Linked DNA regions of Oreochromis niloticus. The protein of the gene in region 2 binds, or shares a complex with, the protein of the main gene of each other region. Links are inferred from orthologs where the notes say so. Each region holds a gene or a part of one and is shown on either strand. Other genes may lie near its edges. The genes, in order: cacnb1, cacna1c, cacnb2a and voltage-dependent L-type calcium channel subunit beta-3.

What was found.
Region 1: cacna1c (region 2) and cacnb1 share a complex: the UniProt entries of both Homo sapiens proteins name them as parts of the calcium channel complex. The link is inferred for Oreochromis niloticus from reciprocal best matches to the Homo sapiens genes CACNA1C and CACNB1.
Region 3: cacna1c (region 2) and cacnb2a share a complex: the UniProt entries of both Homo sapiens proteins name them as parts of the calcium channel complex. The link is inferred for Oreochromis niloticus from reciprocal best matches to the Homo sapiens genes CACNA1C and CACNB2.
Region 4: cacna1c (region 2) and voltage-dependent L-type calcium channel subunit beta-3 share a complex: the UniProt entries of both Homo sapiens proteins name them as parts of the calcium channel complex. The link is inferred for Oreochromis niloticus from reciprocal best matches to the Homo sapiens genes CACNA1C and CACNB3.

Annotation. Positions count from the first base shown.
Region 1 is NC_031969.2:27,484,030-27,491,993, forward strand, and holds the start of cacnb1 (voltage-dependent L-type calcium channel subunit beta-1), read left to right. Parts: upstream 1-4,958; 5' UTR 4,959-5,144; coding exon 5,145-5,234; intron 5,235-7,964. UniProt on the Homo sapiens protein: Regulatory subunit of L-type calcium channels. Regulates the activity of L-type calcium channels that contain CACNA1A as pore-forming subunit.
Region 2 is NC_031981.2:10,681,964-10,689,678, reverse strand, and holds the start of cacna1c (voltage-dependent L-type calcium channel subunit alpha-1C), read right to left. Parts: upstream 3,007-7,715; 5' UTR 333-3,006; coding exon 209-332; intron 1-208. Other genes in the region: dcp1b (mRNA-decapping enzyme 1B), read left to right, coding at 3,032-3,098, 3,216-3,363, 3,634-3,732, 3,894-4,629, 4,786-4,836, 5,202-5,428, 5,556-5,768, 5,953-6,030. UniProt on the Homo sapiens protein: Pore-forming, alpha-1C subunit of the voltage-gated calcium channel that gives rise to L-type calcium currents. Mediates influx of calcium ions into the cytoplasm, and thereby triggers calcium release from the sarcoplasm.
Region 3 is NC_031974.2:16,013,886-16,020,982, forward strand, and holds the start of cacnb2a (voltage-dependent L-type calcium channel subunit beta-2a), read left to right. Parts: upstream 1-4,080; 5' UTR 4,081-4,456; coding exon 4,457-4,540; intron 4,541-6,066; coding exon 6,067-6,159; intron 6,160-7,097. UniProt on the Homo sapiens protein: Beta subunit of voltage-dependent calcium channels which contributes to the function of the calcium channel by increasing peak calcium current. Plays a role in shifting voltage dependencies of activation and inactivation of the channel.
Region 4 is NC_031984.2:12,750,868-12,758,300, forward strand, and holds the start of voltage-dependent L-type calcium channel subunit beta-3, read left to right. Parts: upstream 1-4,431; 5' UTR 4,432-4,718; coding exon 4,719-4,799; intron 4,800-5,654; coding exon 5,655-5,747; intron 5,748-7,433. UniProt on the Homo sapiens protein: Regulatory subunit of the voltage-gated calcium channel that gives rise to L-type calcium currents. Increases CACNA1B peak calcium current and shifts the voltage dependencies of channel activation and inactivation.

The DNA.
Region 1 (7,964 bases), on a different chromosome or scaffold from region 2:
CGATGATAGTGAATTTAAACTCCTATCTGTGAGATTTCTTTCATATTGTTCATGAAATTGTCACTCACATAAAAGGACACAAAAACACAGCAGGCAGAAACCAAAGAGCCAAGAAAATTACCATGTATTGAATTAAAATGTCATGGCTGCACATTCATTAGAGTGTTGATCCTTGTGGAAAAGTAAATGGATACTAGAGCTGACTACCTTGAGCTACCTTGGGCAGCAGTAGAAAGATAAAAAAAAAAAAAACACGAGAGGCTAGCCTGAAAGTCCTGCTCTCCTGCTGCACATTATGTTCTTCTTGGAGGAGTATGTCAGCCAGTTGCTGCAGGAGAGTTAAAGGGACTGTTCAGAGACATGACTACCATAACTTCAAAAGTAAAATGTGATCCTTTTTTGCTTCTTCCTCCCATGCAAAACTGAGCTCAGCGGAAGTATGAGCTGCAGCCGCAGAGGATGATCTTGTGGGTGTTCAGTCCAATGGCATCAACTGGAATCAGGACGTCACACTGATTTCCCCCCAGAAGGGCTTTATCAAAGACTGCTGCAGGTGTGGGGTTCATTTTCCTTTGTGACTGGTTGATACGAGAGGAGGAGGTGGATGAATCATCCCTTTGTTTATTCAGATTTACACGGATATCATCAATGCTCTGTGAACTCAGTGTTTATTGCATTTCCGTGACTGTCGTCATCTAAAACTCATCAACACCCAAACCTAACGATAATTTTGGGAACCGGCTGCTCATTTCGATTTCAGCCATGCACTTGAGGTGGGAATAATTCGCTATAACAGTTAGCCGTATAAACATCTGAAAATGCCACACTGAATAATGTGCAGGAATCAAATACCAAATGGACCCTCAGAGACTTGCACTTGCACTTGAATTGAATTTTTACAACCTTTTAAGGTGTTTCAGCTCCTTTTTTAGGGGATACTCTTTGACTATACAATCTCCATGAAGTATCACAGAAATGTGGAAGTTTGCATCAATAGATGTGAGTTAAAACTGCATGATGAACTTCAGCAAACAGCTAAAAAGGAGAAAAACCAGAGCAGTAAGACTTTCTGGTGAGTTTTGACGTCAGTCAAAGGTTCAGCAGAAAACAAACACATGCACTCTCAGTGGGGATAGGTGAAAAAAAAGGTTCACAGTTCTTATCTTTTATTATTCTGAGCTGATTCACAAAAGCCACTAAAGAGTTTTAGAGTAGTAGCACAGGGTGAACAAATAGATTAAAAATAAAGGCATCTTTCAGGATTTCAGATATTTGATTTCCAGTTAACTTAGCATATCTTCATCGTGGCTCCATCAAAAAAGTATTGGCAGAAGAAGTGAACATTCTTATTGTAAGACTTCATGAAGATGTAAAAATTCTAAAGGAAGACCAGTAGCTAATTTTTTTTAAATGGTCCATTCAGGAACTATAAAATAAGCCATAGTGCCTTTATAGCCACACTAACTGTCCTCTTAAAATGATGTCCCCAACAATGCACTGCTTAAACAACAAGTCCTGAAAAACAGATGCTTTATTTCTTTAGATTTGGCACAGAGACTATCAGACAGCATGAAAAAAAAACATTTTGAGATTAAACTTTTCTAAAGATCTTGAATATTATGAATATATTTTTTGGTCAGATTCAGTATACGAGACCTTTATTGTCAGTGTGGAAGCAACGTCACATGATGTATAGGAACAGAAGTGTTGGACCACACCGCTTAATCTTTCAATTAGAGCAAAGCAAAGTGGATATTTTTAGGGACCACAGCAACTCAGACACAAAGTGGGAGATCAAATAAAGTTAGTGGCTCCCTAACCCCTCTGGTGCATAGTGTGCAAAAGTGGCCAACCATCTGCTGACAGAGTTCCAAATGTCCTCTGTCTTTAACATCAGCAGAAAAACTGTGCACCATGTGCTTCATGGCATGGGTGTCCATGGCTAAGTAGCTTCTGGTGCACAGTTTTTGTCATAAACCTGTAAAATTGAACATAAGAATATTGCACATCAGGACCGTACATGAAGTACAGTTTAGTGGTGTCGCAGCTGTTGTGAAGAATTTGAGTTTCAATCTGTTTGTGGATGCTTTTATAGCACTAAAGCACCTGCCTGCTGCAAGGAACTTGAACAAATGGTGTCCAGCATGTGTCGTGTCTTTGTGAAGTTGCTCGGCACTCTTCAAGCAGCGAGTGATGCAGAGATGTTCCAGAGATGGCTGGCAACAATGTTTTGTGCTGTTTTCAAAACACACTGGAGTGCCTTTTTGTCAGCTTTGGTGCTGCTACCCTACCAGGCTGTCATGCAGCTTGTGATCGCAGTCTGTAAAATTTGGCAAGCAATTATGGGGGAAAGTTGGCTCTCTTTGACTTTTTTAATAAATAAAGGTGTCGTCATCCCAGGAAAGGTGCTCAGTGATGTGAACCCCCCAGAAACCAGAAGTGGAGGGCTCTTTTCAGGTCTCTGTATTGATGTATAGAGGTGTCTGTGGTTTTCTTTGTAGTCTTTGTTTGGTGGCATAATTGGTGTGTTCGTGTCCATGATTTCCTCAGTAAATGCATGCTAATAATTCTTTATTACTGAGGTGGGAGTACTATATAATAACGTTTTTATTTTGAATATATCAAAATACTAGCTGACAAGAGAGTAGCAGAAGCGGAATATTCCAGCATCCAAAGCACACTGCCAAAAAAAGAATTTCTAAAAGAGAAGAAACTAAGAACTGTGACCTGCTGCCTGAGTCGAGGTCAGCAGAACACTTTTGCAGCATTTTAAAGAGAAAGACAAACCAGCAAAGAGGGTTTTAAAAAATGTTTGAACAGTGGAACAGCAACAGTTCTTCATAGATCTGCACTGTCCTGCATGTCAAAGACAATTTAATCTGTCATCAAAAGCAAAGGCAGAACAGGATGCAAATTAATGAAAAAAATAAAAGATTTAAGTAATTAAAGTTGTACTGTTACACTGAGTTCCTACTGTGGAGCCTGCACTTATTACAGTAAATCTAGTTAAATCAAATCAAATCAAATCATGAGACTGCAAAAGTTTCCCCTCAACTCATGTGTCATGCTTCTGTTACTGGCTTCCATCTAATGTCTGTCCAACAGATACATTTAATATCGGGGCCTTAGGCTAAATAACGCCATCAAAAAGTCAAATCTGAGCAATTGATAAGTGGCAAAAACTTTGCTTTCACTTTCGGTCTAAAACAATGTGCCTTAATAAACCAGGTGCAAGCTACCTGCTCAGCATCAAATGACAAGTCGGGAAATAGCTAGCTGAAGAGCTGGTTAAGGCATGGATGTTTTTAAGTTAGAGGACAGCAAAGATAAAAGGTATTGTTTACTGGATGTGTACTCATGGGATGGTTTGCCTATGCATCTGCCCACAAGTGATGATTTGCATTTAGCTGTCCACTCATTTATGTCTTTTCTGTTGGTGTTACAACTCCAAGGGACAAAAAAATGATGTTTAGTTTGATGATCTTGAAAGCTTTAAGTTAATTATTTATAACTTTTTTTACTAGATACATTAAAACTGTGAGATGATAGTGATTCATTTTTTAAAATATGTCTGTCTTTATTTAGCTAGGTAATGCAAAATTTGGGCACATCAGACAGTCTTACCTGCTCCTGGATCAGCATTATATCCCAAAGTTTATTTACTTATTTATTTTTACCCAAGGCCACATCAACATCATTCTCCTCTTCTTCAAATCATAGAGACGTCAGGCATTGAGCCTCCCTGCTGCTACAACAAACTAGCTGTCAAATTGAACTATTCTCACCCCCCATTATAGCCCCGCGGGACCTTTGATTCCTGGATCCCGGTGCGGGGACCAGTGGCTCAGCTTGACAGCCTATCCACACCCACAGCATCCATCGCTGCGGCTCGCTTCTCTCCATCAATCCATAAATGAGGGTGGGGTCTGTTCAGTGGGGCGTGGATCTCGGCTTCCAGCTGGAGTCTGTTGAGTTGAGCGCACACAAGGAAAAGAATCGACGTCAAGACAGAAAGAGAAACACATAAAACCCGAGAGTAGTTAGAAGACGCTGCTTTCAAAATAAAAGCCTGCCTGCGCTAGGTCGACTGATTTTATAGCCATTAGTTTCTACTGTCTTTCACAAATATAAATTTAACAAAACTGCTACCATCTATTAGTTTTAGCCTAACACTCAACTAGTGAAACCCAGTGTTTTGCATTGTTTACACAGTGCAAACAATGAAAAACAATATTGTATATATAACTTGATGTTGATAGGTAAGTTGTTTTAAGTCTCGGGGAACAGTTCTTCATCTGTTTCAGGACTCATTGTTCTTTTTTCAGCTGAGTGTAATTCCTTATGGCCAGTGTTGGGGTTATTGCTCCAAAAATGTGACATATTACATGTTAATTACATACTCTAAAAAAAAAAAAGCCCAAGTAACACACTACACCGAACATGGCTTATGACTGGTTGTATGTTTGGGCCTATTGTCCTACTGCAGAGTAAACCCAGGACCAATCAGGTGCCTGGAGTCAAAAGTCCAGCAACACTTTGCATTACTGATGCCTTTTAGCATTTTGCTAACCCTGAAGGAACACAGGGGTCAAAGTTCAAAGGATCAGATGTCCCTGAAGAAACCCTTAGGTACCCTGCTGTATGTTCAGGCTGTTGGTGGGCTGTTTGCAAAAGTTGGTTCTGCCAGAGGTCTCTTACTGTGAAAAGGGAGTTCTGTCTCCCCACCACTGCCAAATGTATTTCTCTCTAATATTCTAGAATCTTTACCTTATTATACATAACAAACGCAGTTTTGAACATGTGCTATACGGAATAAACATCTAAAACTTTCAAACAGGTAAACATAATAATACTTGTAGTGATGCTTCTTACCTATTCAAAGAATTTTGTTTTGAAAGCAGGATAACCGGATGTATCTGTACGTCACACCCATAACTTGACTCTTGTGTAAAAGCCTGGTGCGACAGTGTGTAACGCTATAGGCTGGAAGGAGGCAGCTGTTGCCATTATATTATCAACCAGCTTAGACGCATCAGCGGCTTCATTCTCTCCGAAGGAAAAAAAAATAAAAGATGAGTCGATCGACACCATCGTAAACACACTAAACTAGAAACTGAAAATAGATTTTTAAAAAGTTGAATCAAATGGTACAGAAAAGTAGTATGTCCAGGACGCCTTCGACCTCAACCCAGGAGATCCAAATGGACATGTTCGACCATCACCCACACACACAGGTAAGACCAAGAAACGGGAAGAGGGTAAAGCGTAAATATTATGGAAGTATTATGTTAAAAATCCCATGTTGACTATTTTGAATTGATGCTCTATATGGTGCTGGTGAACATTAAAGCTGCTGCACTTCTGAAGATTAACAGGTTGTTTCCAATTAAGTCGCTTAATTTGCCTTCGGGGTGCCGAGATGCTCGTGTACGCTGCACTGATGAATTTAGTCAAATTAATGATTTTAAGAAGAAGTGAAATGGATGAAATATACTAGTTTTTCTTCACTACGGATTTTGATTTATAGCTACATCCTTGTTCTGTGTTTAATTTTTGCTGGCGTTAATAAGTCTGTGCTATGTAACCGTGATGTGACGCTTGTTTATATGCCGTCTGACCAGCGGGTTCCCAGGAAAACCACGCCTTTGTTTAATTGATGTCTAATTATCGAGTAACATGTTGAATTGACCAGCTTCCTTGGGGGGGGGGGATTTAATAATTTCCATAAATGAAAGAGCGACTTGAGTTTTTCATAGGTGGAGTTGGTTTATGTTGTTGACATTTTTTCCCATTTTGTAACCCCCCCCCCCCCCCCACACACACACACACACCCCACAAACAAATAAACAAACAAACAAACAAAAAACATCAAATAAAATAATAATAATAACTCATTTATAGCCTTTATCTCCCCATGGTGTCACCTGTTTTACAGCCACAAATACACAGTGGCTCTTAGGAAGTGACATGACGTTGTGGGCATGTTTAGACATAAATGGATGACCAAAAAAAGATGAGAATATCTAGAACAAACACACCCACGCTGGGCTCAGTCATTATCTCTCTGGAGAAGGGGAAAAAAACAGAACACCTCACCATCACAGACAACCAGCGCTTCAAACCCTGCCAAGTCCCGCTCTCTCCTCTTTACTCCCACTTCTCCCCCTCAGCTCTCCATCCACTTTGAATGTGCCACTATGCCCATCCTGCTCTCGCCTTCTCACCTCATGTGAGATGTCTGTTTTTAGAAATCAGATCTTTATCTGCTGAGAGGCTGTGGTGAGAAGCAGATGGGCACGGTGCTTGTGCCAGGCAGATTAGATGTAAAGTTCATGTTGACCTGCAGCGGGATATGCTGTTATATGCACTTGTGTTTCTGCTGTAGAGAGAGAAGAAGAAAAAAAAACACATTTCTAATATCCTGCAGGAAATGGCCAGAGTTCTCTCACCAGCCACTTCTTTAACACAGAAGAAGAAATGAACTGTGTGCCAAGAAATTATCCAGTTTCTGAACCTGAGGGCAGCTTAGATTAAAGATTGTGTGTGCTGACCGCTGTCACATTGCAGATCAGTTGGGCTCTCTGAGCACAATATTGTATAGAGGGTTCTGGTTAAAAGAATGAAATATGTTTATGATACCTTTCAGTGTGCCACCCTCCACCCTTTATACTCCCTGCCTTCCTGCTTTCACAAACAGCACCCTCCTTAATTATACACTTAATCTGGGAGGATGTTTACCAGCAGGAAGCTTCCCATCCCACTTCCTCTGGCATTTCTCTGCTCTTTAGTGACAGGAATCAGGTCCATCATGGCTCCAATCATAGAGATCCCTCTAAAAACATGCATGCTAATGCATGTATGCACCTGATATCACACATGCTGTGAGATGTGATCAAATTTACCAGCTTAATTGCTGACATATTTGGTGGCACAGGAGCTTCTCCAGCATAACAAACAATGGGATCGGGCTGTGAGGCTACTTTTGGGTTCAATATTAACTTTATTGTCCCCAATGAGAAATTGATTTGTGGCATGTCCACTCATCAAACAATGCATACATTGTATTATTAGAAAAAAAAGAAGCTGGACCGGTAAAATCTTACCGGTCTGGTCCTATTGAAAGACAGATTACCGTACCAAGGAATGATACAAAACATTAGAACGGATTCTATAAAACTTTATTTAAAAAAGGGGTCAACAACATTAAAAACATTAAAAACTCTGAATTTCCTTAAAAAGTACAGCTGTTTTTGTTGTAGCAGCAAAATGTGACTCAAAGGACAGAACATTACCAATAAAAACACATAACCATGACAGTATATTTGCACACAGGTCAAGAACCATGGATTTTGTCTTCCATCACTAGGAAAAGGAAGAGTGTTTAGCTCGTTTCAGTGGATATGCGGCTGCTGTTATAAGACAGATGTGAAACTGAGACTGTCCAACCAAAATATACATCTTACTACTGCCTGGATATCAAAGCACAGTCACCTCTTAATGTTAGATGATAACTCACACAAAATCAAGAGGATTTATTAAACTACCCATTATACATTTGAGTGGATTGGCGGTTAGGTATACTGGATGCATATGCTATTTGAAATGCTGTCTGCAATATAGTTCTTCATGACCCCGATTAAGGCCACAAGCTGACATGCTAAGGTATTAAAGTTGTTCCTCATCACACAATTATTTCTGCCGCTTCAGCCTCTTTAGGCGATGAGCCTTCTCCATGCACCTTGGAAGTAGATGAAGTTGTGCCAGAAATTTCCTTTGTGTTTTCACTATGTGGGATTTGCCAGTTGGACGCTCTAAGACTAACAGCCAAGCAAACGGTTGATGTGAGCAGCACCGAGATTAAATGTTATCAGCTGATGCACAGAGACTGCGGGCTGCAGAGATGTGGCAGAGCAGGAGCAAGACCCATGCATGGAACAGAGGGGGCATTAATGGAAATACCGATA
Region 2 (7,715 bases):
TGCAACGTGGACTTCTAGTGTATTACAAGTCGATGTATTGTGATGGTAAAAGGTCATGAGCATCATCCTAATCTGTCATTTCCAGCCCTAATATCAGCACTTAGATTTAACACTGATATGGGTCTGAACTTCTGGTATGTAATCCACTGGTATGTCTGGTATGTCATATATATTAGAAGTACATCAATGGCTATGTCGAGATTCTTACCTCCAGGTGGGATGTATCGATATCCCAGGACACTCTCTGTCACCAGCAATCCTCTAAATCTGACTTCAGGTTCCTCCTGCAGCCTCTCATGTTTAGGTTTCCTCTCAAACAGGCCTCTCAGCATGATCTCTCAGTATTCTCACAGTCCGGTGATGATGTTTCCTCTTTCTGTCTCTCCACAACTTAAAAGTTGCTCAGAACTGATATTAAAAAGCAGTGCCAGTAATTACTTATCTGGCCAAAAGATGCCAAACGCGATGCTCCCCTTCCTTTTTCTTCTTTAGGACCACAGATCTACTGATGGCGCTCTGTAAATATCAGGTTGTACACATACAGGTTTCCCAGTAGTTCTGGTAGTTCTTTATTTTGAGAACTGGGTTTCAGATGCAGAAGAGCAATTTGAACATCCTTGCAGTTAAGTCTCAAGAGGAAGGTGTAACAGAAGTGGTATACGAGACTTTACTAGCTGTGAATGTCAATATTTACTCCTCCTCCTTCAGTTTTCCCCGAAATGTCCTCTCATGCAACAGCATCAGTTTGCTTTACTTCAGGAGCACGTAATTCCTGAAAAACCTCCAGGAAACTAAACGCTGGCGAAAAGGATGTTATTACTCTTCCTCATGACTGATACTATGAACTTTCTTCACAAAGGTGATCTCATACTGCAGTGAAAGTGTACCAAATTTATCTTGGTCATCACTTCTGCTTGTAAATTTGTCTGAATTTATGACTCTACTAAAGGTAAACAGTCTCACAGTAACAGAGTAACTGAAATGTCAACTTTAAGCGTTGTTTGTCAAACATAAAACACAAGACTTTTTTTTTTTTTTAAGTGTCCCGTTGAAGTGTTTCTAAAGGCTGGTGCTTTCTGATGGGCTGCTACATCGTAGGCGCAGAGGGTTTCAAAGACCACACAGGTTCAGTTGTGAATCACTTACAGGCTTTGCTGGGTTTCCAATATATTTTGTTCAAACCGTAACAGACAGCCTGTGTCTGTGGTGGTTTTTGAAGCTGCCACTCTTCCTGATATCAGTCTCAAGCTTAAGTTGTAGTCCTGCTGAAGTTGTCGTCCCACGTGGCCGTTCAGTGGAGTTCCCAGTCGAGTTGCTTTGGTACTTTGCTCGAGGCATACATTTCAAAAATCCCTCTGTCTTTCTCTTTCAATTTCCAGTGTCGAGTGGAGCTCTCTCTTTCTCCCTCTCGAATTTGTAACCTTATGGCCACAACCACTTTTCGGCTCTCTCGCTCTCGCTCTCTCTCTGTATCACTCTATCGCCCTCACTCGTTTTTTTTCTCTTTCCTATCTTGTTGATATAGTTTCTACAGGTCCTGCTGGAGCTGTGGAAGTCTTCTATTTTAAAAGCACATGCACATCTTTTATCTTATCTTCTTCTCCCTTTCTGTGAGACTGAGAGAGAGCAACATGCTGGCCAAATGGAGTGTCTAATGTCTGAAACGTCACAAGTTCTTTTTAGTATTCACTGACATGTTTCTATTTTGATGTGCTTAACGAGCTCCCCTGTAACACACTTCACTTCTTTCCATTCATCTTGCTCATTTTTCCTCCATTTTCCAGCTGTCAGACTTTCACCGTGTCTCTCTCCGTCTCTGTCGAATAGTCTCATCCCCTATGAGCACACTGAGCACTAAGTGGCTCTGGCTCCACCAGTCAGCCTCCCACTGCAGTTACTTATTTGGTCCTGGGCTTATTTTCCCAGGCTCAACTGAACTCTCTGTGTACGTATGTGTCTCAGCCTCTCCCTCTCTGTCTGTTCTCCTCATCCACTTTGACCTCGATGCCTTACCCAGCCCCATTTGTAGCCAAGTGGATGTGTATTTTTGTTCATGTCTGTGTGTGTGGGAATGTGTCTTGTATTCAATTGGATTACATAAAAACCTAGTCATGGTATAGACCCCACTGATTGCTCTTTTTTCCCCCCACTTTAAAATCTTTGTGTTATTTATAAGTTTTTCTCTGTCCTTAATTTACTCTCATATCTTTTACTCTTTGCCTCTTTTCTTTTTGGGGATTGGGATCTTTCCCCGACATCCACAAACTGCAGCAAATTTGTTTCTGTCTTGGGCAGAGTAGCACCATGAGTATTGCTAGAGCCCTCCACTCACATGTCTTCTCATTTGATAAACTTGTCATGCAGGTTGAACATCCAGGTTGATAAAGGAAAAAGTTCAACGATTTCAGGGTCTGGGCTTCTTTAGAACATCACGGGAACTTTATTTTTTCCATGCAAAATTCTAAGCCCTTCCTTAGTGGCTGCAATTGAGTGGTTATGCAACAACGATTAATCTTTCAAAAGAGAGCACAAATGCAAACAGTAAAATTAATCACTTTGTAAAGTAGTTCATCCCATCTACAAAACTGGGCAAGTGTCTTTTTCCTCCCTTGCTGACCGTGTTTACGTAGATCAGGGCACTCCTGGGGCCCATGTTTCATTGTATAATTGCATCGCTGGCTTCTGTTCCCATTGGCTTGGCTGGGAAATGACTCATTTTAAACCCTGGGGTTATACCCACCAGGGCTAATAATAAACAGTTTATCTATCTGTTAGGTCCGCACTGATGTCATTGCAGCAAAATTGTGCTACAGCATGGCTACACATTCATTCAATTGTCTGGGAAACTCATTTTGTTGTCTGCTGACCTGGACTGAGCAGACAGTTGCATTATTACACCAAGCTAACTAGATTTTCAACATTGACAGGGTCATTATTGCAAATAATTTGCTGGATTTTTGTTAATGTAATGTCCTCAAAAGTTCAATTCTGTCTCTTGCTGCATCTCAAACCCCCTGTTCTTCTTCCCCAGTGGCAATCCATGGGATTTGGTTCTATGATAAGGAGGACTGTCAGCGCATCGCCCAGAGGATGAAGATGTAAGTAACTGTAATTGGATGATCTTCAAAACAAGATTTGGTTTGCTTAAAAATGACTAATGAGTTATGGACCAGCTGCCAAAGCTTGACAGAAGACTCTTTTGTTCATGTGTGCAGTCTGACCCAGCAGGAGCAGGTCCTGGCTCAGTCCCAGGGTGGTTGGTTATCCCCAGGAGAAGTAAGAGTAGGGGGAGGGGGAAAAGGTGAAGCAAAGGGAGTGGACATCATCCAGATGTTAACCAAAGCCCGCACAGAGTATGATAAGGTATGTGCACACTGTAGGATTTTGAAGAGAATAAAACAATTAGAACAACACAGATTAAAATGCTGGGAATAGCTAGGCCCTAATATATCTTTGCATTTACATTTGTTCATTTAGACCTATAGGATGCGGGGAGTATTTTCTAGGATCCTCAATTAATCACTTATAGTAATCTACTTTTTGGCAATTTATGTGAAATAGTTTTTATGTATTTATTTACTTATTTTGTTAATTGTCTCTCCTTTGTCTATTCTTTCTGTGCACCTCTCTTAGGAAAAGTCAACCTCAGAGCCAAAGGAGATTGGTGGCAGCAGTGTTCTTTATGGAAACCCCCACCTGATTAAACCAATACCCGTTAAACCAAACACTCAGGTAGAACATCCAGTTTAACCCTGTTAAAATCACATTTTTCGTGTATAAAAGAGAGTTTGTAATGGTTTTCTTCCATTGTTGTGTATAAAACCCTGCTAGTTTTTTCTGTTTGTGCTTCTAACTCATCATCTTTCTTACTCTACTGTGCTTCTCTCATCCAGGACAATGAAGGTGCTCAGCCCAAGTCTCTTTCTTTGGCTACTCTGTTTGGCTCTCAGCAACGTTCAACTAAACCTGACTCTGTCCCTCTTGCGAATGCTCCAGCACTGGGATCATCAGCGGGAAAAGTATCTCGCCCGCCTGTAGCTCGCACACTCACCTACGATGATGCAGTGAACTCTGGCAGAAATGTGGCCTCTGATGGAGGAATCAAGGCTGTGGAAGATGGAGCCAATGTTGTTTCTGGCTTGTTGCAGAGTCCCTCAAACGCTCACCAGCAGCAGCAGCACTGCCCGGCCATCGCAAAGCTCATGCAGGGACAGAGAGGTGTCGGGACTGTGGGAGGGGTGCTTCAGACTGTGTCCGAGTCCCCCGAGAACCGACTCTGTGACAACGGGGTGCCGCTGGAGCATCACCACCACCATCATCTTTACCACCATCAGCAACAACACCACCATCACCAGCATCAGCTTCATCCTGATCCAATCAAGAGACTTTTCCAAACCCAACCACCTCCTCTACCCACCACCTCTTTCTCCTCTGCAGCCCCTAATTGTTACTCCAACCCTTCCTCTCTACAGCAGAACCCTCATCTCTCCTCCCAGCCTGTAATGGTGGATTCTGTGTCACGCTCTCACCTTCAAGCACAACAAAGCCAGCAGCTGTTTTTCAGCCTGTCCAATTCTCAACCTGAAATTCAGCAGAACAGCCAGACGGCTCCAGCTGCACAGGGAACAGGTGGGGAAATCTTTTGTGTTAAGTGTTCACAAACAAACAAGCTAACCTTGTACTGAATCAGTGTGCTACATACACATTTTTATAATTACAATGCTAATAAACTATGGGAAGAATAACTTTTCTATAATGTTAATGGGATTCTTCTTGCTTTACCAGGTTTGTTGCCATCTCAGGTGACCAGTGATCAAGTCATTCAACCTTCACAAGGTATAGTATTCAAGTTTTTTATTGTTTGCAGTCGCTAACTAGCAGGGTTTTAGTGGTGAGCACAAACTTAAGCCGATTGTTACTGAAGCTCTGACGAGTTTTTCCAATAATTTGAAACTACATATAAACAGTAGTTAAATTAAGAAACTGCAAAGGAACACATTTTTTCCCAGTTACAAGACACATTATCTGTAGTTCCATTGCTGTGTTTCCCACAGGACTGGAGCTCATACATGTGCACGCATGCACAGTGTGCATAAATTCACACTTTTGGAAATGATTTACCCTAGAGTACACTCACCAACCTGTTTAGCTGCTCATTAAAAGTAATTCTTGTTTTTGGTACCTTCGTGCTTTCTCGTCAGGATTGTCTCACGTGCCAGGTATGGTGTCACCTCATGAGCTCCTCCAAAAGCTCCAGTTGGTCCAGCAGGAGCAGAGCCTGACCTCTAGTGAGCCACCTCGGATCTGTCCAGGACTGGCTCCTCGATTCCTGGGGCCAGCCCAAAACCAGGGTGCATGCGTGACTTTAGGCACAATCCCAAACCCAACTGCAGCCACTGCAGGTCAGAAAGCTGCGTTGCAGTTACAGGTAAAGCCCAGTGTAAACAGTTAGTAGTTGATTTTATCAACTATATAAACAGAGCAAATGGCAAATACTAGTTAAATTGGTGACATGATAGCTGCAACAGTACTATAAGTGCTCCCTGTCTGTGCAGGTGATCTCCCCTCAGAGGATACCAGCCACTGTTGCCCCGACTCTGCTCCTTTCCCCGAGTATGTTCACTCAGACAAAGCCTAGCAGTGGGTTGTCTGCAGTTGGTCAGGAGAGCTCCCACCCACCCTCAACTGTGCCCAGACCTCCTCTGCAGGAGGAAGTCAGAATCCTTTCCAGAACTCAGCTTCAAGCCACACTGCTGCATCTGATACAGGTGATTATTCCTTTAAAGTTTGTGGTCTATTATGGCTTCACAATGCTCGCTGTCCAGTTGTTGTGCTCACGTTGTAGCCAAATCTGTGCAGTTTTGTTTGCAGAGAGAAAAACAGAGAATAAGCAAAAACAAACACACACACACTTGAGGATTTAGTATGAAGTTGCCTGCTTGTGTGTTTCAGACCGACAGCTCATTCCTGGACTCCATCTATGAAGCCTATACGAGCCGCTTTGCTAAGGACTCCAGCAACAAGTATTGATGCAGCTTCACACCCTCGTTCTACTCACGCACCCTTCCCAGAGGCTCTTTCTTACACCTCATATGGATGCACCACTTCCTCCTCCAAATCACATAGACACGTACTTAAACACACACTCTGTACCTCCTCTGCACTATCGTTAGGAAGCCTGACTCTGTTCGCTTCAAGCCAAGTCTTTTGTTGCACAAAGCTATCACAAGTAACACCTGTATTTTTCAATAGTAGCAAAGGAAAACAACTTTTACAATGTTCAAAATAATTTGGTTTAGTCTGTAGATTACAGATTTTACCCTTGACCTCACCCTTTGAGTCTCAGCAAAAACAAAACATGCTGCAAACCTTCAGTTTTCCAGGATGTTTCTAATACTCTTTCTTTTCCAGTAAGTGTAGCAATATTTCCTTTCAGTCAGTTGTCTCGCACCAGCCAGCCTTTAACAAACAAGTCTTCCTAGTCTAGAGCTAAAAGACATCTTCAGATATTATTTTAATCTCTTATTATTTTACTTGGGCATAACAGGTTTGTGTATTTTACCACCAGCAGGTTTTTTAAATCTGTTATTACATTGTTGTGTTGATTTTTATTTCTATCCTTTTTAACAGACACGAGCAGTGATAAGTGTCTACATTGTAATTTTGGTTAACTAACTGTTGTCAGCTGGTGCATATTGAAGTGGACGAGCGAGCCTGCGGCATAACTCTATCCGGCAATCGCTGAAATTGTGAAGGAGAGAAAAGGTTTTTCTTTTGCAGCACTTTTTGAATATTATAATATGTTTGAAGAAGGAAAACGTCAATGTCAGTCCACCTTAAAAAGACAAGAAAATTACAGGAACCTGACAACCTGCACTACCTCACAGAGAACTTGTTTGGAGGTATACCTGTGTTTTAAATGAAGTGGCATAAAGGTGATTGATTTATGTCATATAGTAAGGAATTTTTGTTCGCTTTATGTAAAGAGATTTCAGAAAATTAAATATCACCTAAGCTGATAAATGGTTCTAAACAAATGAAGCCTAGAGTGGTCTAATAATATGATTTAATAATCTGAAGCTTAGAAAATTTGGTTAATTAAATCATCAACAGCAACATTGTTACTTGTTCAGGCTTGTTGTAAACCCTGGTGGAGAGTGAACATAAAATTTAAAAGGTTTTATTGCATTTGCACAATACTGTTATATTACATTTGCCACGTAAAGTGATATTTCTCATTCAGTCGTTCCTCATTCAGCACTTAAATTGCTTACGTTTTTCCAGAGTCAGGGTTTTTAGTTGGTGATTAGCGTGTGTGCTAAACCCATAGCCAGCCTGGACAGTAGCTACCAGGCAGAAACATCAGCAGCAGCAAAAGCAGAGAATATCATTCAGGAAAAAAAAAGAGGAAGATTTTATTCCCTATTTTTTTACTCAAGAAGAAAATTGTACAAATAACCAGCATGTATTTAAAAGTATATCAGAATGTAAAGTTTAAGATTTCACAGCATATTGTCAGATGCTGTTTTAATTCAAAAGTCATCTGTACTGTTTCTGTAACCAGAATATTAAAATGTTTCTATGGGCTTTTTTTTCTTTTTGGCAGGGATGTTTTCCCATTACATAAACTGGAATATATTTTTATTGGCTATTAAATGTTAAAAAAAAAAAAAAAAACTGTGTCGTTTTTTTTTTTTGTTGTCCTCATATGTTTG
Region 3 (7,097 bases), on a different chromosome or scaffold from region 2:
GATGCAAATCTCCCCTTTCACTGCATCTTAAAAGTGTTCCACTGAACTGAGATTTGGTGACCATGCAGGACAATAGAGTGCAGAGAACTAATAATCAAGTTCAATAAACCAGTTTTAGATGATCTGAGATTTGTGACATGGCACATCATTTTGACTCATCAGTAAGGCAATTATTTCTATTCTTCTGTTGTCCAGTTTTGCTGAGGCCATGTGAATTGTGGCATGTTCTTAGCCGGTGTGTTCTTTTGTTGCTTCACCCCATTTCCTTCAAGGTTCTTCAGAGATGTCATTCAGAGATCCTCCTCTGCATACCTTGCTTGATTGATTTAATGTCGCCTTACTATCAGCACACAGCAGTCTGGCCATTCTCCTGTGACCTCTGACATCAACAAGGCCTTTTCACCCAGAGAACTCCAGCTCACTGGATATTTTCACTTTGTTAGATCACTATTTGTAATCCCTAGAGGTGGTTGTGTGGGAATATCCCAGTAAATCAGCATTTCTGAAATACTCAGACCAGCCTGTCTAGCACCAACAACCATACCACATTCAAAGTAACGTAAGTCTGAAAGGTGTACCTTTCAAAGTGTCCAGTGTGTGTTGTTAGTGTAAGTCAGTATTACCTTACTTACTAGGATTCTATTATTTTTCCTCGTTTTTGTGGTCATTTGATAAATAAAAGTTCATTTCAAGCCTGAAAACAGACGAAAGATACATTTAATACAAACCTGGTGATTTTCCTTTGGTATGCATGAAATTTTGTAATCTGAAAGTTTGTTGCTTTCTTTTCTCAAAATAAACTTAGCCCAAAAAGTATGGAATTCTTTGTTTGGTCAGTTATTTCCTTATTGTAACAATGCTTCTTGGTAATAAATCTCATAGTGTTTGAAAGCCTGTTTATTTCCCCTTAAATGATGCCGCATTTGTAAGGAGACAAAGGAGTTTGCAAAGAAAAGCGTCTGGACTTCTTTGAGTTGCTTTCAACTCAAAGAAGTCCAGACGCTTTTCTTTGCAAACTCCTTTGACTACGATGACCTGGATGACTGAGAACCTTCACAGACATTTGTAAGGAGAATTCATTTGTGGGTTGCGCCCATGAGAAACTTGCCAAATCTTCTCTACAAATGCCAAAAACCTTCTTGTGTGATTGCTATCTGCTATATCTTATTCTGAGCTTCTTGTACCCCATGTGCTGCCAATCATGACTGACTGGTGTCTGATTAGCAGCACCTTTGAGGATGGACCCTGCTACAGTGGTCGATTGGTGTCTGCTCCAAGCATGCCACGGTTGACTAATGTGGATAGGGCCTGTGCCACAGGGCAACTTCAAGCTGGTGTTCTGCAAAACCAAGTTGCAGCATTTTTTTTGAATGCGCTCAGTACCATCTCCAAATAGAAGAGCATATTCCACATAAGAGGGGATTTGTGAGACAGGCCACTACATGGGTGTCCCAAGAAGACAACACCACCCTGTCAGGATTTAGGAACTGTAAATAGTCTTCTACAGCTTTGAAATCAAAGTTTCCAGTACAATATGGCTGACGGCTCTCTACCCAGAAAATCTGGAACATACCATAAAATGGAATCCCATATCTCCACAGTCTGGGACTGAACTCTATCCTCCAAGATGACACTCACCCCCACAGAGCAGGATTTATCAGAGACTATCACCAAAATTTGGGAATGGAGAGGAAGGAATGGCCTGCCTGCAGTCCTGACCTCAACCCCACTGAAGAATCAGACGCCATCCCATACCGGTGTGCGACCAAGCCGATGACCAGCATGAGGAGGAGGTGCCAAGCTGTTGTGGCTGTGTATGGTTCTTTCACATTGCACTGTCCCTGTTTGTTAACTGGATGAACTGTTAAATGGCCAATATGTCTCGTTCCTTCAGACTTTAATCATCCAATCCAATAAACAACACCAAACAAGACTCAATATTAGAATAAGCTTTTTTTTTTCATGGTGCAACCTCCATACTCAACCCAGCTGCTCAACCCACAAATGCATTTTTCTTACAAATGTGGCATCGTGGAAGGGGAAATAAACAGGCTTTCCAACAGTATAAGATTTATTGCCAGGAAGCATTGTTACAACAAAGAAATAATCGACCAAACAAAGATTTTCTTACTGCCAAGTGCCAAGTTTATTTTAGAAACAATATATTCGCATTTTAGACTACTGGCTGAACAAGTATGTCATCAAATATGAAACTGAGAGGTATTTTTTAATTTAATTAATTAATTTATTGTATTTACAATGACATATTTATAAAAAAGAGCTCATTCAATAATGAAATAGTCAACAGGTGCAGCACCTTTTTTTTTTTTTTCATCCGCCAGCTATGCTGCCTGTACTTAACTGCCAATACGAATTATTCAGCTGTCAGCTTTTGGCTCACTGCTCCAATTTTCAGGTTTCCTGCACCAAATGATAACATGATGATATATATATGTTTTTAGGATATCCCAGTTTAACTGGATAACTCCATTTCTTTATTACATGAGAAGCAAATATGGAAAAAAAAAATTTCAGAGAAGTATATTTAACATTTTCTTGGTGCAGGGGTATGTCCAGTATCCATCTGGATACTGAGTTAAGCATGTGGCAGCTTTGACTGCCTCCTATAAATGAGAGTCAGCTGGACTATGCTGTGTTGTTGGAGCCTCTTAATGTAATTATTTGACAAACAGGCCTGTTGTAGCAACAATTGTCCAACTAGTTTATTATTAGCATTAATTAGCATGTGTGTGCATTTAAACCAAACCAGTCAGTCTATGAACTGCTAATCAAGATTCTAAGTAACTAGTACTCCACCCTCTTGTCCACATATGACATGATTTTTGCTGCATCCATTTTTTTATATACAGCCTATGTGGTGGCACCATACTCCTTTCACCCAGTGCTATTAGCATAGAAAGAAAAAATGAATACAGCTTTTTGGTCAGAAAAAATGAAGCCAACGCAAAGTGCCTTAAACCTGCATTCTATGTGAAGGCCACCAGATGGCGATAGTTGTGGTTGCAAAAAGACATTCAGTCCTTTAGTATAAGTCTGTGGGAAAACGGCTCTTGACCTGTGAAACACTTTCCTCATGAGTTTATGGTCTCAGTCACTCATTTTGGATCATATTGAATTGAAAAAAAAAAAAGTAAAATCTTGGTTGTACTTCAAAATGGAAGACTGTGGTATGAAGCCACAGGCTCACTGGCTAACGACTACTTAATCTCAGCTTGGTAGCCCATGAGCCCTCTGTTTCAGTCACATTTGCCTCTCCTCATTACATCTGGTGCTATGCTTATTATTTAGATAAAGGGAACTAGCTCTAAAAAAGTAATTTAATCTAACTACAGCTGCAACAATCAAGTAATGCACATAATAACGAATCAGTCTTTGTGATCCAATTTTTTTACTCTTCTTTGTATTAACCTCATTTTTATTTTCTTTGTTTTGTTTTTTATCACTGTTAAAATTTCTGTTAAAACTTCGCACTCTCACAGTATTAGACCCTCACTATGCACCTGTGGCACTTTTACTTTAACAATGTGGTTTATTTCTTTTAGACTGTACTATTTTTACTCTTTATCGTGCTGCTGCAATACAATAATTTAAATTGAATAAATTAATATCTTTAATAATCATAATCTTTAATAAATTAAGGATGATTGAAGTATCTATCATGTATATGATTCTGAAGTGAGCCATTAGAAATGAATAATTTTTACTTTAAATACTTGTACTGAGACATTAATCATATTTTACTATATGTATTTGGGCTGCATGTATGGGTTTTTTTGTTTGTTTGTTTGTTTTTGTATTCATTTCTGATAAAATAGTCTTATTTCCTCTGTTTTCCCTCTCTTTGTCCTCCCCACCACCACCACCACCTCCACCACCCTGTGGCACCTCTACTTTGGTGCCAATACCTGTGAGCGGCCACATCAGGTTTATATTACAATAAAAACATCATTTTGTTGATTTAAACACCTCCCAGTAGCTATGACCTGATTTCTCTCACTTGTTCAGTTCTGATCATCAAAGTTACTCTGAATTGACGCTTTTCAGTCGTGTTCATGCCGACTTTGTGTTTGGATGCTGCTATTCATTTCCATCCCTTTGCGCTGTGAGGAGGCAGAGAGGTGTTGGCGTTGGTTGAGGGCTCACGGAGCAGGAGAGCTCTCTCAGCTAGTGTAGGAAGGAGCGAACTGATGAGGGGGCTTTGTGATGCTGAAGGCTATAATATCCGACGACTCACATCATCACTATCATCTTGAACTCGCGAAAAACTACAGCCATTTTTCGCACAAGCTCCTCCTTTAACTCGACTCAAACTTGAAGAGCAGCATTAAACTCTTCAACACTACTGTGTAAAAATGCGCTTTTGTCTCGGGCAGAGTTGGAGCATCTGTACAACCCGAGAGGTTTTACCGACTATCCGCGTTTCTCAAATGGTGTGATGGTCGTCAACATTAGCCCAACCAACAGAGCAGGAACACCTCCGGACAAACACATGGACGCTCTGGAACATCCCATGTTACAAGTGAGTTAATTCATTTTAATTAAAGCTGACAGTTCCTGTTAAACTGCCACTTTAAACCTTGGCACTGCACGCTGAGAGACGTCAAACAGCTCACCTGCTCTCAACCTGTCCGCTTCCTTTGCGCGTGCTGGTGAGCGCAGGTGGCCTCATTAAAGTTTTGATTGAGGTTCGTAAGTCGCGAGGGCGAATCTTTATTTTTTATTAACTTGTTTTTTGTTTGTTTTGTTTAGGTTTTTTTTTTTTAACTTATTTGTGGGTCAGGTTTGATATTTGGATATTCACTTTCAAGGACTGAAAATAGTTTGACATGTCTTATTAGTTTAATATCACGACGTTTTGAAGTAAGCTAGCCTGGATGCTCGTCAAATTAACTCGTACTTCCGGAAGTATTTCAATTGTAAAGCCAGTGGTAGTAATTACATATTTACGAGTGTAATGCAAAAAGTACTCTGTTCGAAGTACTGCTGTAAAAACGAAAGTAACTAAGTACTAGGTGCTTAGCATGTATGGGTGTTTTGGCTGTTTTAGTGGCAGGTAAGCGGCATTTAAGTTTAAAGCTAGTGTAAAGTCTCAAAGAAAAACATAGTAATTTCAGTATCAACAACATTGTAATGTCTAAAACATCTTATAAAGGCTTTTGTCTATTCCTGCAGGTAAAATAATGAAAACTGGATAATGTATTGTATTGCTCTGTGGAGTACAGTGCATTTATTCAACACCTATAGTGATATTTCTGTTTGGTCCTAGGGTATTTGTATGAGGGTATGGACTGAGGGGGACAAAAAAAGGCAGATTTGAAATTATTTTCTTGCATTTCGTGCATTACTTTTCCAGGATGTCACTTTTGAAAAATAAGCCGTCTACCTCTGTGATTACCTTCATCTCCTGAAACACGTCATAACATTACACCTTAAGTGAAAACACTCAATCTGTAATAAGTAAGAAACAGTGGAAATCAGTGCTTGGCTGATACTGGCTATAATACTGGCTAAATGCCATTGGTTTGAAGTCTTATTGCAGAATATTAGGACCTTATATTTGAGTTAGTCTTTTTGGTATAAAAAATTATTTTATGTTGGAAATGACTCACCAACTCCACTCAACTAGGCAGTGAAATTCATCAGTGAAGACGGAGGCTGTAATGTTGGAAGCAGAACTGGTCACTCAGATAACTTTAAATTGCTCTATTTGCTTTCATAATCACTGATAATCTTTGTCAGACACAACCTTCTTGAGATACCACCCTGTACTTGGAGAGGCAAATGCTTTATCTGACATTTCATAGAGAAAACATATTGATAATGAAATTGATCTAACCACAGTTGTTGCATTTGTTGGTAAACATTAATGACTTATTATGAGTCTCATATTATTTTCTGCTGAATGCATTTTTGCACATGAACTTAAATCTGTTACAGGGAAAATGTATTAGTTTGCATGCTCTTGTGTATATTGTTTTAAGATTTAAGATTTTAAGATTCCTCATAAACAGTTTTATCCTGTCTTTTTTTGGGGGGGCTCTGAAGTCTCAAAGCAAAGGAGCTCGGAGAAAAGGTCGTTTTAAAGGCTCAGATGGAAGCACCTCGTCCGACACCACAACCAACAGCCTTGTTCGCCAGGTAAGGGTGGTGATTTGAATTTTTGTTGATCTCGCCTATCGGTGTCTTATTTTTGTCATCTCTAAACTATCTGTTGGTGCCTAAAGCCCTAGACCAAAATAGGTACAACAAAGATGTATCTGACCACGATAAAAGAGTACCATGAAGTATAATTCAAGTTTCTGGCTGCAGTTACTTCCCGTTGGAATCTAACACTTGTGTGTTTGTATAAATGCCTGACAGTAAATGCAAACTGGTGTAAGGGCTCAGGCTCAGTCATCATCATCCATCAGCAGTAAGATGTGCATTGCGATGAAAGCCCTCTGTAAACACTGCTGGGTACAGTATGTTAAATGGAAGCCTCTCATCTGACATGCATCTTCTGTGCACAGAGTGCAGAGCGACACTGTGGCCTGTTATAAAGCAGACCCTGTGAGGTACACACTCAGCGAGTCTGGTCTTTGTTGAGCAGACCTGCAAAGGGACAGAATGGGCTGAGTTAAGGATGAACACTCCTGCTTAAATGTTTCTGCCTTTTTTGGAGGAGGCACAGATCGCCTCGTCTTTGGCACGGCAGCAGCAGAGCGACGGGAAGCTGGAGGAGGTCAGATCAAAATTGCACCTCCTAGGCTGCTGTCTACTTCATCTCACAGCCACAGAGAAGTTCTCAATGAGGCGCTGCAGCTCAACTGAAGCTGCTCAGGGAGAAATTCCCTGATTTTTTATTTTCCCACCACCCTTGGGAGCTAATGTCCATTCCCACAGTCTTCTCCCCAAATGAGGAGTTCCCCTTCAGTCAGAGTCATCAGTTGGCTGTGCTGCGAATGACTGTCAGTCTGCATCATCATGTTAGGGAAATGAGAGGGTATTTGAGTGAGAGACAGAAAAGAGATGGTGCGGAGCAAAGGAATGATGTTTTTTGGGAGTCAGAGAGTCTCTTTCATGCAGAGCAAAAATAT
Region 4 (7,433 bases), on a different chromosome or scaffold from region 2:
AATCTAATACGTTACTGTCCTAAAGAGACAACACGTGAAATGAATTATGCTAAATAACAAAAAGAAATGAAGTCCAAATTTTTAAAAGACCACTACATGTTAGTTGGGTTTTTTGTGGTAAAACTGATTAGTTATAAAATCATCAGAGACTTTGTGGTACAACTTGAGTCCATGTCAGAATTTATTATGTTTAATATTGCACTTTAAATTTTTATCGCATGGAACATATTTCTGTCATTTTAACCAAATTAACACAAGCATATTGACACACTGAGTTGTTATGTCAGCATAACGAAAGCCGTAATCATCCTGGCCTCTTATAGCTCAATCTGGTCAATAAAAGCCATTCAAAGTTAGCCTGTAGTTTTTAAAGCGTTTAAATAATTCAAGTCAAAGCTTGGTGTTGTTACCACTATGTTATTGTTTAGATTTAGCTTTAGGATCTTTGGTTTTCTGAGTTTGAACAGCAAACTGCCAGCTGTCCGAGTTAAAAAGGACTGCTGTTCGGGAAAACTAAGATAAATATAATAAATAATTAATGAAATTATCTTGAATGTGGAATCTGGAATTACTAATGGAGCCCTGTTTCAATTCTTCAAACCTGGCCAACAAACCAGTAGTTTATTCCTAGTGTGATAAAATAGACAGCATATTGGTCAAACTGCCTGCTATTTATAATGTTAAGAGATAAACATCCACAGTTGTTAAGGAGGTAGCAACAGTGGAGGAGAAATCACAGGAGAGGCTCATGTGAACAAATAAAAAATCAAATCAAATAAAAGTAAAGAAAATAATCAGTCATTGATGATTTGACTATTTATTTAGTTTGCTGTAGCACATCTCATGGCAAGCTTTTGGTGCTTTTACCATGGGCACCATCACTGCACCAGAGCCATATTGATGGGAAAGGGGCAACTGGAGTCTTTGTAGGACAGGCTTTGGGTGAAAACTGAAGCAAATAGTGGGGGTGGGGGTGTGTGGTGATGTGATGTGATGATCTCTGTAGGTTTTGCTAAATGGATCACCTCTATTACTTTTACTGGGTAATTTTTGGAATAAGAAAAGTCTTATTCATATTTAGGTCCACATTTAACAACAGGAAGAGAAACTGGATCCAGCATGCAGCTAAAAAAAGCCATCAGGCAGACAAAACAGCTACAGGATGGTAACTAATTTGAATAAAATCTGACTATATCACAAATGAAAACACCACGGATGTGTCACTGTTTGGGTGTTTCTGACTTTACTGAATTTACAAAAAGGTTAAAAATGGCCTGTAACTCAACTAGCTATAGAGCTGTAATGGGCTGTAAAAAAAGAAAAGAAAAAAAAAGGCCAGTGCAGCCAAACAGGATGACTTTGTAATGCAGACAAGGCGAGTGTGCATGGTTTCTGTAGTTTTCACTGTATTTACTCTAGGGAGCGTGGTGGAGAATGAAAAGGAAGTCATCAAGAATGGTGTCGTGTTATGAAAGTGGTTGTTTATCCAAGCCGGAGGTTTGAATCACGATCACTTACAACACTTTCTTACTGACAAATTCATTTCCCATTTCCTGTTATACCACACCAAAGTAAGGTGGTTAAAGTAAGGAGTGTCTTGTAGTTACTGTAGAGACGTTTGTTTTGTTTTTGTTAAAACAGCAGACTGACCAAATGTGGAAAAACTGACAGATTTTGCTAAAACTAAACTTTTTTTTTTCTTAAGACAGGTCAGGCTATTCATCATCTACTGTGGTTCAGTTTTCAGAATGTACATGCCCTTGTAAGGGTAAAATTTCAGTTTGTTTTCGTTGGTTATTATGAAATTGTTTCACTGTAAGTTGCTGCCGCAGTTTGCTGTTGAGAGGTCTCACTGCTCCAGTTTCTTTTTACACTTTATCTATGAATGCATCGGGAGTAATTTTAGACTAAAGATTTAAAGGTGTAATGGCAAAAATCATACTTTGACACTCAGTCCAATGGAAATCAATTTGTTATTTCAACCTTCAATTTTATGTTCCACCCTTTCCCTTCTAAGATACCATAAAATATTGATTATCCTGGGATATCATAGCACTTAATTTCTCACTTACCCTTTCAACTGTATATTTTCACTTTTATTTCTAATTATGGTTGATAGGAAATGTGTAGTTTATGTGTAGCATTAGCTTTAGGCAGAGTGTTTTCTCCCCAGAGGGGAAACTCTGGAGGTGTCTTGTTCATGGCCTGTACATGTCAAAAGCGTAAAACTGTAAATCACTACCAAAGAACAAGTTGTGCAGATTTTTGTAGAATATGAAAATGGTGGAAAGTGATTCTCAAAATACTAAATTTTCTTATATACATGTTTCTCAATTATTTGAGTTGAACAAGAAATGTGCAGCTCAAAAAGCACTTCTGCATGGAAACCCTAAAGACTGCTCGACAAAACAGCAACATTAATAACAAATAACAATAAATAAGAGTTTTAATTGTTTTGGGGACAAAAGGGAGTGATGAGAGTGCTTGTTTTAACACACAACCCACAGTGCAACCAAACCCAGTGTCATCAGGTATTTCAGGTCTTTCAACATCAGACACCAGTACCCAGGCAACCTAGCCATGGGTGATCAGTCTCCAGCTTGTGTCTGGGTGGCTTAAGTCATCTGCAGGTCTCCCCTTTTGGTCCACTGCCATCTTGATGTCTTCTCAGGAGCACTAACCCTTTATTGACCGGCCCTTCAAATTTACCTGTAAAATGGGCCCGCCGGTGGGCCCATGGTCAATAAATTAATGATGTTCAGTCCCTTGATCCTGAGCAACTTCATGGGCTAGTTACTAGTACATTGAGGTACAATGGGTCTTCCATGCCTTGCTTCACCTGTAAGCTACTTGGCAAGGAGCCTCTTCCATCTGGTCTTCTCAGGGAATGGTCAACTCTAGCAGGACCACCAACTGCCTCAGTGAGTCTGATATTAGCACCATATCAGGCCTGAGGTTGGTCAGGGCTATGGTGTCTCCCCAGGTCAACTTTCTGCCAGTCCCAGGTTGCTGCAAGAAGACCCACTGCTGGGTCCATGTGCTGTCGTGACTTCTCTCTAGCACTGACAAAAGCAATAGAGCACTTTTGATTTGCATCGTGTACACAGACCTTGCCGTTGCACACCAACCATACTGCTGGAGCAAGTTTTTCCACCACCCCTGCTCTGATCTCTTACTTGCCCAACTGGCTGCTTCCCTTCCCCTTTTTCATATTGAGGTCTTGAGGTACTGCCAAGACCTGCCTGACCTACTGAAACTACAGCCCAGGTCTTTTGTCTGATCAGCAGAATACTATCCTATGACAAAAGTAACCCTCAGGTTTTGGGGGGTGGGGGGGTTGGCAGTTAGAAACCTCACACTGAACACATCTCAGCATTTGTAATGTGCACTGCATTGTTGCACACAGACAGGCCTACTCTTTGTACTACAGATAGATTGCCAGGATTTGTAACCTTATTAAATCAATCGAATAATGTGCAATTTCACCAATATGTCTTTTACTGTCATAACAAAGAGATATTATTATCTTAACTATCTAACCTAAAGTCACGCAGCCTCACTCTTGAGTGTGGTATAGAAGGGTTTAAAAGAAGAAAGCTGTAAAAGTGACCTTTATTAAAAAATTCTTCCTCAGATTAAATTTATGACAAAACTCTCATTACTAGACATTACTTGCACCACAGTGCTTCCTGGTGCAAATTGCAATGCAAAGTCTAGCCTCAGTTTTTACACTTTGCAAAGGTGTGTTGTGTTGTGTTTTGTTGTGTTTAGTTGTGCCTAGTGCCGACGTGGGACAGTTTCCAATTTCGTTGTACTATTGTACTAGATATGACTGTGCAATGACAATAAAGGGTTATCTTATCTTATCTAATCTTAGTCGATCATAGTGGAACATTTAGCAGGCCAGTCCTGGCTTGCACCCCTGCACTAATCTAAAGCTAGTGATTTCAGATGGATTAATTTTGAAACGAGCTTAACTAGGTTTCATATAATCTAAGTTCACACTACGTAATCTATTAGACTGCTGAGTATCAGTGATTAATAGCTCCTAAATGACCTATAATGTATTTATAAATTATTATCAGTCACATAAAGCACTATAAATGATGCCTCGTGAGGAAGTACCACTTTTACTGAGGCAAAGGTGATCAAAGAAAAACAAACCCGTTCAACTAAAATCCACCTCTCCTCTAAAATATGACTTCAAAGCTGCCCTCTTTGAAGGTTCCACATTTATTTGACTGCGGTTTCAACTATTTGAATCCTTCTTTGACAAGCAAATATTATGCACAGACGAGAAGGAACACGGCGTTTGTTTGAAGCCAGGCACTTCTAAAAAAAAAAGAAAGAAGCCAAATGTTGACTGTAAGCAGGTCTGAATTGATTTTTGTGTCATTTTAATCAACGCCGACACCCCCGGCAGAGTCGCACACTTAGTACGGACCTGTACGGTTCGCTCGTGCGCTGATGCTTCAGCGTTATCGGTTTATTTTAGCTTCAGTATTTTCCCCCACTCCCTTTACGTTTCTCCGTCACAGACTTTTTTGTTTTTATTCGGGAGTATGAGCTAGCCTTCCCGTCAGCTGAGTTTGGATATTAGTGTCCGTTTTCCCCCCTCCCGCTTGCCGCTTCTTCGCTCTCTTCACTGTATCTGATGCCTCTTGTTTCCTCCAGTAACCCATGTCTATGTGCATCCCGCCTCCCTGCGCTCTCAATATATGGTGCAAGTCAAAATGTCCAAATCGCCCGTAGACCCTCTGTCTGCCGTGGAAACCGGCTCCCAGTCGCACTATTTCCAGGTAAATCCGCTCACTTTACTCCCATTTCTCTCGCTTCTAACTCCATCTTCACCGACAAAAGAGGAAAATGGTTAATTAGTGTGTCAGATGCTACTTGTTGTTCAATCTGAGGCGTCGCGTTTTGGCAGCGAGCTACTTTTTTCCGTTTTCCCTTTTTTTCACCTCCGCCTTTTCTGAAACTGCAGATTGATGCTTGAGCCGGTGAACGGTCATGTATCCTTATATTATGGCTTTTAAACACAGATACACAGTTTAACACCTCCTTGGGTGTCGATGCATTTGCTGTTTTGATCTCAACTCGCAGATCAGGCCTTTGCATTGATGCTTTATTTATTTCAGTGCATTTTCCCCCTCCGTGCTACGCTTCATCCACTCCAGTGCAGGGAAACCAGCACACACCAGTAGCATTATGGGATTTTCGTGCAGGATTTTATTGGTGCAAATGTGCAGGCCGTGACTCTGGACTCACCTGTAGCCTGAATCTGAAAGGCTTTCTCCTCAGTTTGAGGGAGCTCTCTGCATTAATCAAACCACCATGTGAAGCTGTGAAAGGCAGCCCTGAAATATGTGTGATTCTGGCAGTTACAGCTTGCTTTGGTGCAAAGCAGCTATTTTGCACTTAATCACCATACATTTTGGCTTTTGCAGTCCTTAAAAGCCAGCAGTAGATTTATTTTTTGTATGAATAATCTAAATCTGCAAAATAATTAGCAACTAAAGCACTGAAATAAATATAGTCAGCCTTGCTGCCAGTATTACTGCTAGAGAGTTGTTGCATCCCGTTATCTATCGCCATCCATCTACCCATTCCCCTTTTTATCTCTTCACCTGTGTGCATCTCTTTCCTCCTCACAGCTGCCCAGGAAGTTGCCTAAGCGCAAGAGCCGCTTCAAACGCTCAGATGGCAGCACATCCTCCGACACTACGTCTAGCTTCATCAAACGACAGGTAAAAGCTCCTTTTGTGCCTGGATTGTCTCACTGCAGGCCCATTATTGCACACTGATTGTTAGTGGATGGAAAAAGCTGTAGGTTCTGTGGAAAATGTAGGTCATGGTGTGCTCTAAATGTTGGAATAAAGCTATAAGGTGCTTGAAGTTTGTCATCAGAGCCAATGTCTCCGCAGTGTCTGGTTGGCAGTAATGCAACTCTTGCATATTTCTTTTTTTAGGGTATAGGCTGTTGTTGCCGTTGGTGGAGGTGGGGATGGGGTTGTTAAAATACCTGCATGATTCTCTACTTATTTTGTTCATATCAGTGTGACAGTTTCTGCTCTGCATCTTCATCCACAGCGCTTTTTCCTCAGTTGCAGAGGTTGCTTTGCCCAGTAGAGGGTAGCAAAATGCTTGACAGAAAAAATAAGTTCAACCAAAATCCCAACACAGCTCAGTATTTTTTTTAATTAATGTTTTCAGGTCAGACATGTGTGGAAGACTCAGATGGAGATTTAGTGTTATTTAAGAAAGAAGGTATCTGTAATTGGAAACAAAAGGATTCTCCTTGTGATGTTGCTGCATAGCTATTTTGAATGGATTGTAGATATGGGCAAGGGGTGGGAAAAATATTTTCTCAGATGATTATATTGACTTTAAGTGAAAGGCCAAATATTGAACAGCTGAACTGTAACATGAATTATTTTAAACTGTTAATCTGGTAAATGGTGTTTCAGAAACCGAGAAATTTGTTCAAAAAAAAAAGAAAAAATGTACAAATCGTCTTAAATATGAAGTCATTGTAATGTATTGGGTTATTTAGCGTAACAGATCGTCGCCACTCAGCAAAACTATCAAATTTGGCAGATATGAGAAAACCAGATGTTTAGCTTGTATCTGCGATGTGCTGGAGTTAATCATAGAAAAGTGTTTTTGCAAAAAAAATGGTGAGCACCCTCTTTTGAAATCAAATTAAAAAGCTTCTTACAGTAAAGTTGAATATCGTTAAGGTGCTCTGTTGTTCGGTTTTGTGGAACGTCGAGGGTTGTAATCACATGGACCATGTGTTGGCTCTTCCCATGTATTTTCAAGTCAGTTGTGATGTGCAATTTTGGAATTTGGATTTAAGCTGCATTAACAGAAACAAAAAACCCAATTCCAAAAATGTTGGGATGCTTTCTAAAATGTAAATGAAACAGAATGCAATGATTTGCAAAACTCATAAAACCCACATTTATTTGCAATAAACGAAGTGTAACGAAACAATCAAATCAAATGTGTAAAACTGAGAAAATGTAGCATTTTGAGAAAAATACTAGCTTGAAATTGACGACAGCAAGACCTGTCAAAGTTGGGACAGGGCCATGTTTACCACTCAGTAGCATCCCCTCTTCTTTTAACAGTCCGTAAACATCTTGGAACGGAGAAGTCCAGTTGCTGGACCTTTGGGAGGGGAGTGTTGACCCATTTTTGTCTGATAGAGGATCCTAGCTGCTCAACCATCCTGGTTTATCTTTATTGTATTCTTTGGTTCATAATGTGCTAAATGCTTTAAGTTGGTGAAAGGTCTGGACTGCAGCTCAGCACCTGGATTCTTTTACTCGAAGCAATGCTGTTGTAAATCCATGTAGTATGTGGTGTAGCATTGTCTTGCTGAGAGTCTTAAAAATAAATAAATAAATAAATTCAAATTTTGATTTATT